Linked DNA regions of Saccharomyces cerevisiae S288C. Each later gene encodes a partner of the first gene's protein in a complex. Each region holds a gene or a part of one and is shown on either strand. Other genes may lie near its edges. A codon is read from its position in the direction of its gene.

Evidence for each region.
Region 2: the proteins of FUN12 (region 1) and TIF11 are in contact, whole or in part, in a crystal structure (PDB 3WBK), measured with the Saccharomyces cerevisiae proteins. Residues at the interface, in NP_009365.1 of Saccharomyces cerevisiae: Arg969, Asp973, Lys976, Phe980, Trp989, Leu990, Lys993, Lys996, Glu1002; in NP_013987.1 of Saccharomyces cerevisiae: Asp145 (codon at 859), Leu148 (codon at 850), Ile150 (codon at 844), Ile153 (codon at 835).

Annotation. Positions count from the first base shown.
Region 1 is NC_001133.9:74,166-78,094, forward strand, and holds the start of FUN12 (translation initiation factor eIF5B), read left to right. Parts: upstream 1-2,261; coding exon 2,262-3,929. Other genes in the region: YAL037W (uncharacterized protein), read left to right, coding at 1-658; GTP-binding protein RBG1, read right to left, coding at 878-1,987. UniProt on the Saccharomyces cerevisiae protein: Plays a role in translation initiation. Translational GTPase that catalyzes the joining of the 40S and 60S subunits to form the 80S initiation complex with the initiator methionine-tRNA in the P-site base paired to the start codon.
Region 2 is NC_001145.3:788,549-791,839, forward strand, and holds TIF11 (translation initiation complex factor eIF1A), read right to left. Parts: upstream 1,292-3,291; coding exon 830-1,291; downstream 1-829. Other genes in the region: tRNA methylation protein TRM732, read right to left, coding at 1-335; TPS3 (trehalose 6-phosphate synthase/phosphatase complex subunit), read right to left, coding at 1,657-3,291.

The DNA.
Region 1 (3,929 bases):
TCTAAGTACTGAAAAGATAGCGTCGTTTTATACCCAGTATTTCAGGAACTCTAATTCGGTAGTCGTGAATCTTTGCTCACCAACTACAGCAGCAGTAGCAACAAAGAAGGCCGCAATTGATTTGTATATACGAAACAATACAATACTACTACAGAAATTCGTTGGACAGTACTTGCAGATGGGCAAAAAGATAAAAACATCTTTAACACAGGCACAAACCGATACAATCCAATCACTGCCCCAGTTTTGTAATTCGAATGTCCTCAGTGGTGAGCCCTTGGTACAGTACCAGGCATTCAACGATCTGTTGGCACTCTTTAAGTCATTTAGTCATTTTGGAAATATCTTGGTTATATCATCACATTCCTATGATTGCGCACTTCTCAAATTTCTTATTTCCAGGGTGATGACCTACTATCCACTAGTGACCATCCAGGATTCTTTGCAATATATGAAAGCAACCCTGAACATATCCATCAGTACATCCGATGAGTTCGATATTCTGAATGATAAAGAACTGTGGGAGTTTGGCCAAACCCAGGAAATTCTAAAACGTAGGCAGACGAGCTCAGTCAAGAGGAGATGTGTCAATTTACCAGAAAACTCTACGATCGATAACAGAATGCTTATGGGTACCACAAAGCGAGGTCGCTTTTGAAGAGCCCTCGGTAGCATAACATTTTTAATTATTACGACTGTTTTTTTTATTCATTATGTAGAGATAATTAAATGTTATAGATGCTCTATACTCAAACGGTGGAAGAAAAACAGCGAAAAAAAATAACCGATACCCCCTTTTCGAATACAAATGCTTGTATATTCAATTATGAATTATTTTTTTTTTTTTTCATTTCTTATATTATTTTTTGTTCGAGAATCACTTTTTCAAGATGGTAACAACATCTTCGTCTTCCAAAATGTGACTCAACCCCACGTATTGAGGTTGATGTTTGACACTGCTACCGTAAACCAGAGCATTTCTAAAGTCGTCCACTAAAGATTTATGAATTTGGTTACAAAAATCCTTGACACTGCAACGGTCTGATCTTAGCACCACAGGGTCGGTAAAATCTGGTATTTGGCCCTTTGGTTTAGTGTAAATACGGACTAGATTTAGTCTATCCCACATGACTTGCAACAGCTCGTCCAAGTTCCAATCTTGACCAGACGAAATAGGCACGGCATTAGGAATTCGGTAAAGTAATTCCAATTCCTCTATTGACAGAGAATCAATCTTGTTTAACACATAGATGGCAGGCATGTATCTTCTTGACGAAGCTTCCAAAACATCAATCAAATCATCCACAGTGGCATCACACCTGAAGGCAATCTCAGCGCTATTTATTCTGTACTCGCTCATAACGGCTCTGATTTCGTCATTCCCCAGATGGGTCAATGGGACTGTGTTTGTGATGGAAATACCACCTTTCTCTTTTTTTTTGATCAAGATATCTGGCGGAGTTTTATTCAGACGAATCCCCACACCTTCCAGTTCCTTCTCAATGATTTGCTTATGATGCAAGGGTTTGTTCACATCTAGGATGATAAATAACAGGTTACAGGTTCTTGCCACGGCAATAACTTGCTTACCTCTACCTCTACCATCCTTAGCACCATCGATAATACCAGGTAAATCCAACATTTGGATCTTGGCACCTTTATAACGAATGACACCGGGGACGGTAACCAGGGTGGTAAACTCGTACTCAGCTGCTTCAGACTCAGTACCAGTCAACTTGGACAGTAATGTAGATTTCCCCACCGACGGGAACCCGACAAACCCCACACTGGCCACACCAGTTCTAGCCACATCAAAACCAATACCAGCACCACCACCGCTGCCGGATGAAGCACTGGTCAACAATTCTCTTCTCAGTTTGGCCAGCTTGGCCTTCAGTTGACCCAAATGGAAAGATGTGGCCTTGTTCTTTTGGGTACGGGCCATTTCATCTTCGATAGCTTTGATTTTTTCAACTGTAGTAGACATTTTGCTCAATCAACAACTCTACGCTTGCACCTACTGCATCTAGCTTCAAACACTTCCTATCATTGCGCCCTCATCACACCGTAATATCCCATCTTAAAAGTGGAAAACTCTTATAGCTCATCGATGAAAAAAACGGGCCCTCGTCGCTTGTGATGTGAAAAAATTTTTCAAGCTTTAAGCCCATTGAAAGCAAGAGATCTTGCACTAGAATAAGTGGCAAAGGTGAACTTTGAGGGGATAAGAAGGGCAATCAGGAACATCAGATAAGTGAAAGATGGCGAAAAAGAGTAAAAAGAACCAACAGAACTACTGGGATGAGGAATTCGAAGAAGACGCCGCCCAGAACGAAGAAATCAGTGCCACGCCAACTCCAAATCCAGAAAGCAGCGCAGGTGCAGATGACACTTCCAGAGAAGCAAGTGCAAGTGCTGAAGGTGCTGAGGCCATTGAAGGCGACTTCATGTCTACTTTGAAGCAATCGAAGAAGAAGCAAGAAAAGAAGGTTATTGAAGAGAAGAAGGATGGTAAGCCTATACTAAAGTCCAAGAAGGAAAAGGAGAAGGAAAAAAAGGAAAAGGAGAAGCAGAAGAAGAAAGAACAAGCTGCCAGGAAGAAGGCCCAACAGCAAGCTCAAAAGGAGAAGAACAAGGAGTTGAACAAGCAAAATGTTGAAAAAGCTGCTGCTGAGAAGGCTGCTGCTGAGAAATCCCAAAAATCTAAAGGTGAAAGTGATAAACCAAGTGCTAGTGCTAAGAAGCCAGCCAAGAAAGTACCTGCCGGTTTGGCTGCTTTGAGACGTCAATTAGAATTGAAGAAACAACTTGAAGAACAAGAAAAGTTGGAAAGAGAGGAAGAAGAAAGATTGGAGAAAGAAGAGGAGGAAAGATTGGCCAACGAAGAAAAAATGAAGGAAGAAGCTAAAGCAGCTAAAAAGGAAAAGGAGAAGGCAAAGCGTGAAAAACGAAAGGCTGAAGGTAAGCTATTGACCAGAAAGCAAAAAGAAGAAAAGAAATTATTGGAAAGAAGACGTGCCGCTTTATTGTCTTCCGGTAACGTCAAAGTTGCCGGTCTGGCCAAGAAGGATGGAGAAGAAAACAAACCAAAGAAGGTTGTTTACAGCAAGAAGAAGAAGAGAACAACCCAGGAAAACGCCTCCGAAGCCATTAAATCTGACTCTAAGAAAGACTCGGAAGTTGTACCTGATGACGAACTCAAAGAATCCGAAGATGTTTTGATTGATGATTGGGAAAATTTGGCTCTTGGTGATGATGACGAGGAGGGAACCAACGAAGAAACGCAAGAATCCACCGCAAGCCATGAAAATGAAGACCAAAATCAAGGCGAAGAAGAAGAAGAAGGAGAAGAAGAAGAAGAAGAAGAAGAAGAAAGAGCACATGTGCATGAAGTTGCCAAAAGCACACCAGCAGCTACACCAGCAGCTACTCCAACTCCATCCAGCGCTTCTCCAAACAAAAAAGATCTTCGTTCCCCAATTTGTTGTATTTTGGGTCATGTCGATACCGGTAAGACTAAATTGTTAGACAAAATCAGACAAACCAACGTTCAAGGTGGTGAAGCTGGTGGCATCACCCAACAGATTGGTGCCACTTATTTCCCCATCGACGCTATTAAGGCAAAAACTAAAGTTATGGCTGAATATGAAAAACAAACTTTTGATGTCCCAGGTCTTTTGGTTATTGATACCCCAGGTCACGAATCCTTCTCTAACTTACGTTCAAGAGGTTCTTCATTGTGTAACATCGCAATTTTGGTTATTGACATTATGCATGGTTTGGAACAACAGACTATTGAATCTATCAAACTGTTAAGAGATAGAAAGGCTCCATTTGTCGTTGCCCTAAACAAAATTGATAGATTATATGACTGGAAAGCCATTCCAAACAATTCATTCAGAGACTCCTTTGCAAAGCAATCAAGAGCT
Region 2 (3,291 bases), on another chromosome or scaffold:
TATTCAAAGATAATATTTGCATTCGCTTCAGTTAAGAGTTGCTCTTTTACCGCCGATAAAAATTCTTGAGAGTCAATTTTTTTGCTTGCAATTATTTGATGGCTCCTTAGTAAACAGATCGAAAAGGTATCTGGAAAAATTAACCTTGTGGACTCATTTAAGTTCGGTAATCCGTCCTTGATATACTGTATTAAATACCTGAAATCATGCTCAATCTGAGTTAAAACAGCATCCTTATTTTCATTGTTGATCTTTGCTGGATTATTAGCAATCAAGAATTCTTTGACACGGAAAAGCTCGATTTCCTGACTTGAAAATTGCACATCCGTAGTCATTTTTTGAAACTTTCAGTATGAAGTAATGTGTACCTCGGGAAGCTCACAATAGTATTGTCATTTTCCTGCGATGAGCATTTTCTGGTAAAAATTTATTTTAACTTTTCATTTTCTTTTCAGTCTAAAAAAGTAAATTTTCGATGGAAAAAACGGAAGCACTCATGAGTGACAATAAACAGCATCGAAAGAAAAGGTAATAAATTAAAAACGATGAATGGATAAAACGTATTCGCAACGTGCTCTTTGCTCAAATTTCTCGTGCGAGAAAATTTTTATTACGTCTCCTTAACGTCCGCTTGAAAGAAACCCTAGAAGGAAGATTAAACGACTTCTTGAGGTATTTCATTTTTATTCTTTTTTTGATATCTATATATAAGTATTTCGATATAGTAAAAAGAAAACCCTTTCCTATGATGGACTAAAAAATATAATTATAAATAAATTATGAATAGTTGACGCATTAGAAGATATTGAGGACACTTGTTCGGCCTAAATTAAATGTCATCAATATCAAGTTCTTCATCTTCACCTTCCTCATCATCTTCATCAGCGTTACCAAATTCAAAGTTAACGTCTTCATCAGATTCGAAACCAAAGTTGTCTGTTTCATTAATTTTGGCGTTTTCAGGAAGTTCACCTTGGTTTTTCAGTGTTCTGGCTTCATCTAAATTATATTTGTGGACAACATCACATTGGTCATCTTGGAAATCTCTTAAGGAAACAAGAATAATATCACCTTGTCCCATCCAGACTTTCTTTCTTAACTTACCTCTAATATGGGCCATTCTCTTATTACCATCAAAGCAACTGGCTTCGACTCTTCCATTACCCAACATCTTGGTGATTTGAGCATATTCTTGGCCTTCTTCCTTATAAATAAGTTCACGCTTTGGACCGTCAGAGTCGTTCTTACCTCTTCTACCTTTTTTACCACCTTTAGTGTTTTTCTTACCCATGATGAACTTTGCTCTATATTACACTAGTGCTTTTGCAAGTACACCTTCTACATAAGTAAAGGTTTCTTTCAGCAAACTAAAATTGAAGCTTTTTTCAATTTTTCACTATTACTTCTTGCGGCGAAAACAAAAATGAAAAAAAAGTGAAAAATAGCGTTCGTGTATAATGATTATTATAAGATCTCATTAACAATATGAGAAATAACCCACATTGTTAGTTGAAACTTGTTTGTAATTTATCGTGCTGTATATACATATATACGTAAAAGGAAGATCGTACTTTTATATTTATAATCGCTCGTAAAAACTATAACTGAAGAATAAGAAAGAGAACATTTTGAAAGTACAGGAGGGAAAATGATCGCTTAGGCGGCTGTCAAGTCATGAAGGATGGTAAAAAGTTCATTGACACCATTGATATGTTCCTTGGCATAAGTGGATCTTGAGCTACCGTAAAGAATGGTGTAACCAAATTTTAGATTGTTCTTTTCAACCTCTTGCTTCACTAATTTAAATAATGGTTCAATAATAGGTGATGTCGAACCGGAAACGCAAACGAAATCTACCTGGTTTTGGAAATGCTTCTTATTATTACCGACGGACATCGAAGAGGATGTTCTTGATAGAGATATTCTGCTATTGTCAGTAGGACTGACGCCACTGTTGTAAAATTTCATCAAAAACTCAGCGGCGGCTAAGGCTAGCCCCGTTTGTTGAACGAAGACAATATCCTTATGCACATAAGCGTGAATATCCCTGTCATCAAATAAGGTGTTTATGTGCGTAATGGCTTCCCCAATAACAGTTGGGACTCGATCTTGATCATCAGCGTTTTCTGTATGGAATCTGATCATAGAATCAGCGATTTTGTAGTATGAACCAGGTAACCTCTCGACTTTCTCGTCAAAGATCTTTGCCACCTCTTTCATCCAATCAAGCTCTTCCACGATGTTGTACCACGACCCATTAACTCTTACGTAGGCACCATTCTCCGCTATCAATCCGATGTTTAGAACACCATTGTATAAGCTTTCGAATGTATTCTTTGTAAATGAACTCAAAACGTAAACTATATTATTTGAACTCAATTCACTTAGCAAGGATAGCATTCTGGACGTTGGAGGTTCTGAAATCTTGAAGATAAATAAATGCTTTTTGGAGGCTTTGTAATCAGCACAGAATTTTTCTGGAGCCAAATTGAAAACAGTAGACGTTTCTTGGTTGGACTCCCAAGCATTATTTATGTATTCGAAGCACTTTGTAATCCAATTATCCGAATCATGTTCAATAACAGATTTGAATAATTTTTTCCACCTACGCCTTTTTTCTTCTGGAGACATTTCTAAACTTCTCTTGATACTTTGTGCTACATGATTTATATCCCATGGGTTTATTAAGATGGCACCTTCCTTTAGGACAGAAGAACTACCAGTGAATTCAGATAATAATAGAGGCGCATTTTTTTCGAATGAACTGACAATGAACTCATGACATGTTAAATTCATACCTTCTCTCAGCGCATCCACAAGGAAAACGTCAGCTTCACAATTCAATGCCAAATATTGAGCAAAATCTAAATCTTGATGCAAAAAGACCACTGGTTGAGAGATACTGATGTTCGAAGACAAAGAATTGATTCTATCAACGACAACCATAATTTGACGTTCGTACTCAGGATCGGAACTCTTACCGATGCAGATTTGGATCAAAACAACTTTTTCGATGTATTCAGGGTTTTCTATCAAAAACCTCTCGTAGGCTAACATTTTTTTCTGAAGACCTCTAATTCTGTCAAATTGATCGCGACAAACAATCAGTTTTTTATTACGCCATCTTTCTTTAATTAATTGGCGCCATTCAAGTACAGAACCATTTCTCAACTGCGATGTCAAATGGTAATAATCAATACCAATTGGCGCATACATCACGGAAACAATATTGCAATGGTATTTGACTTCATCATTAGAGACATCCGCAGCAAGCAATCTGTTACAAGTTTG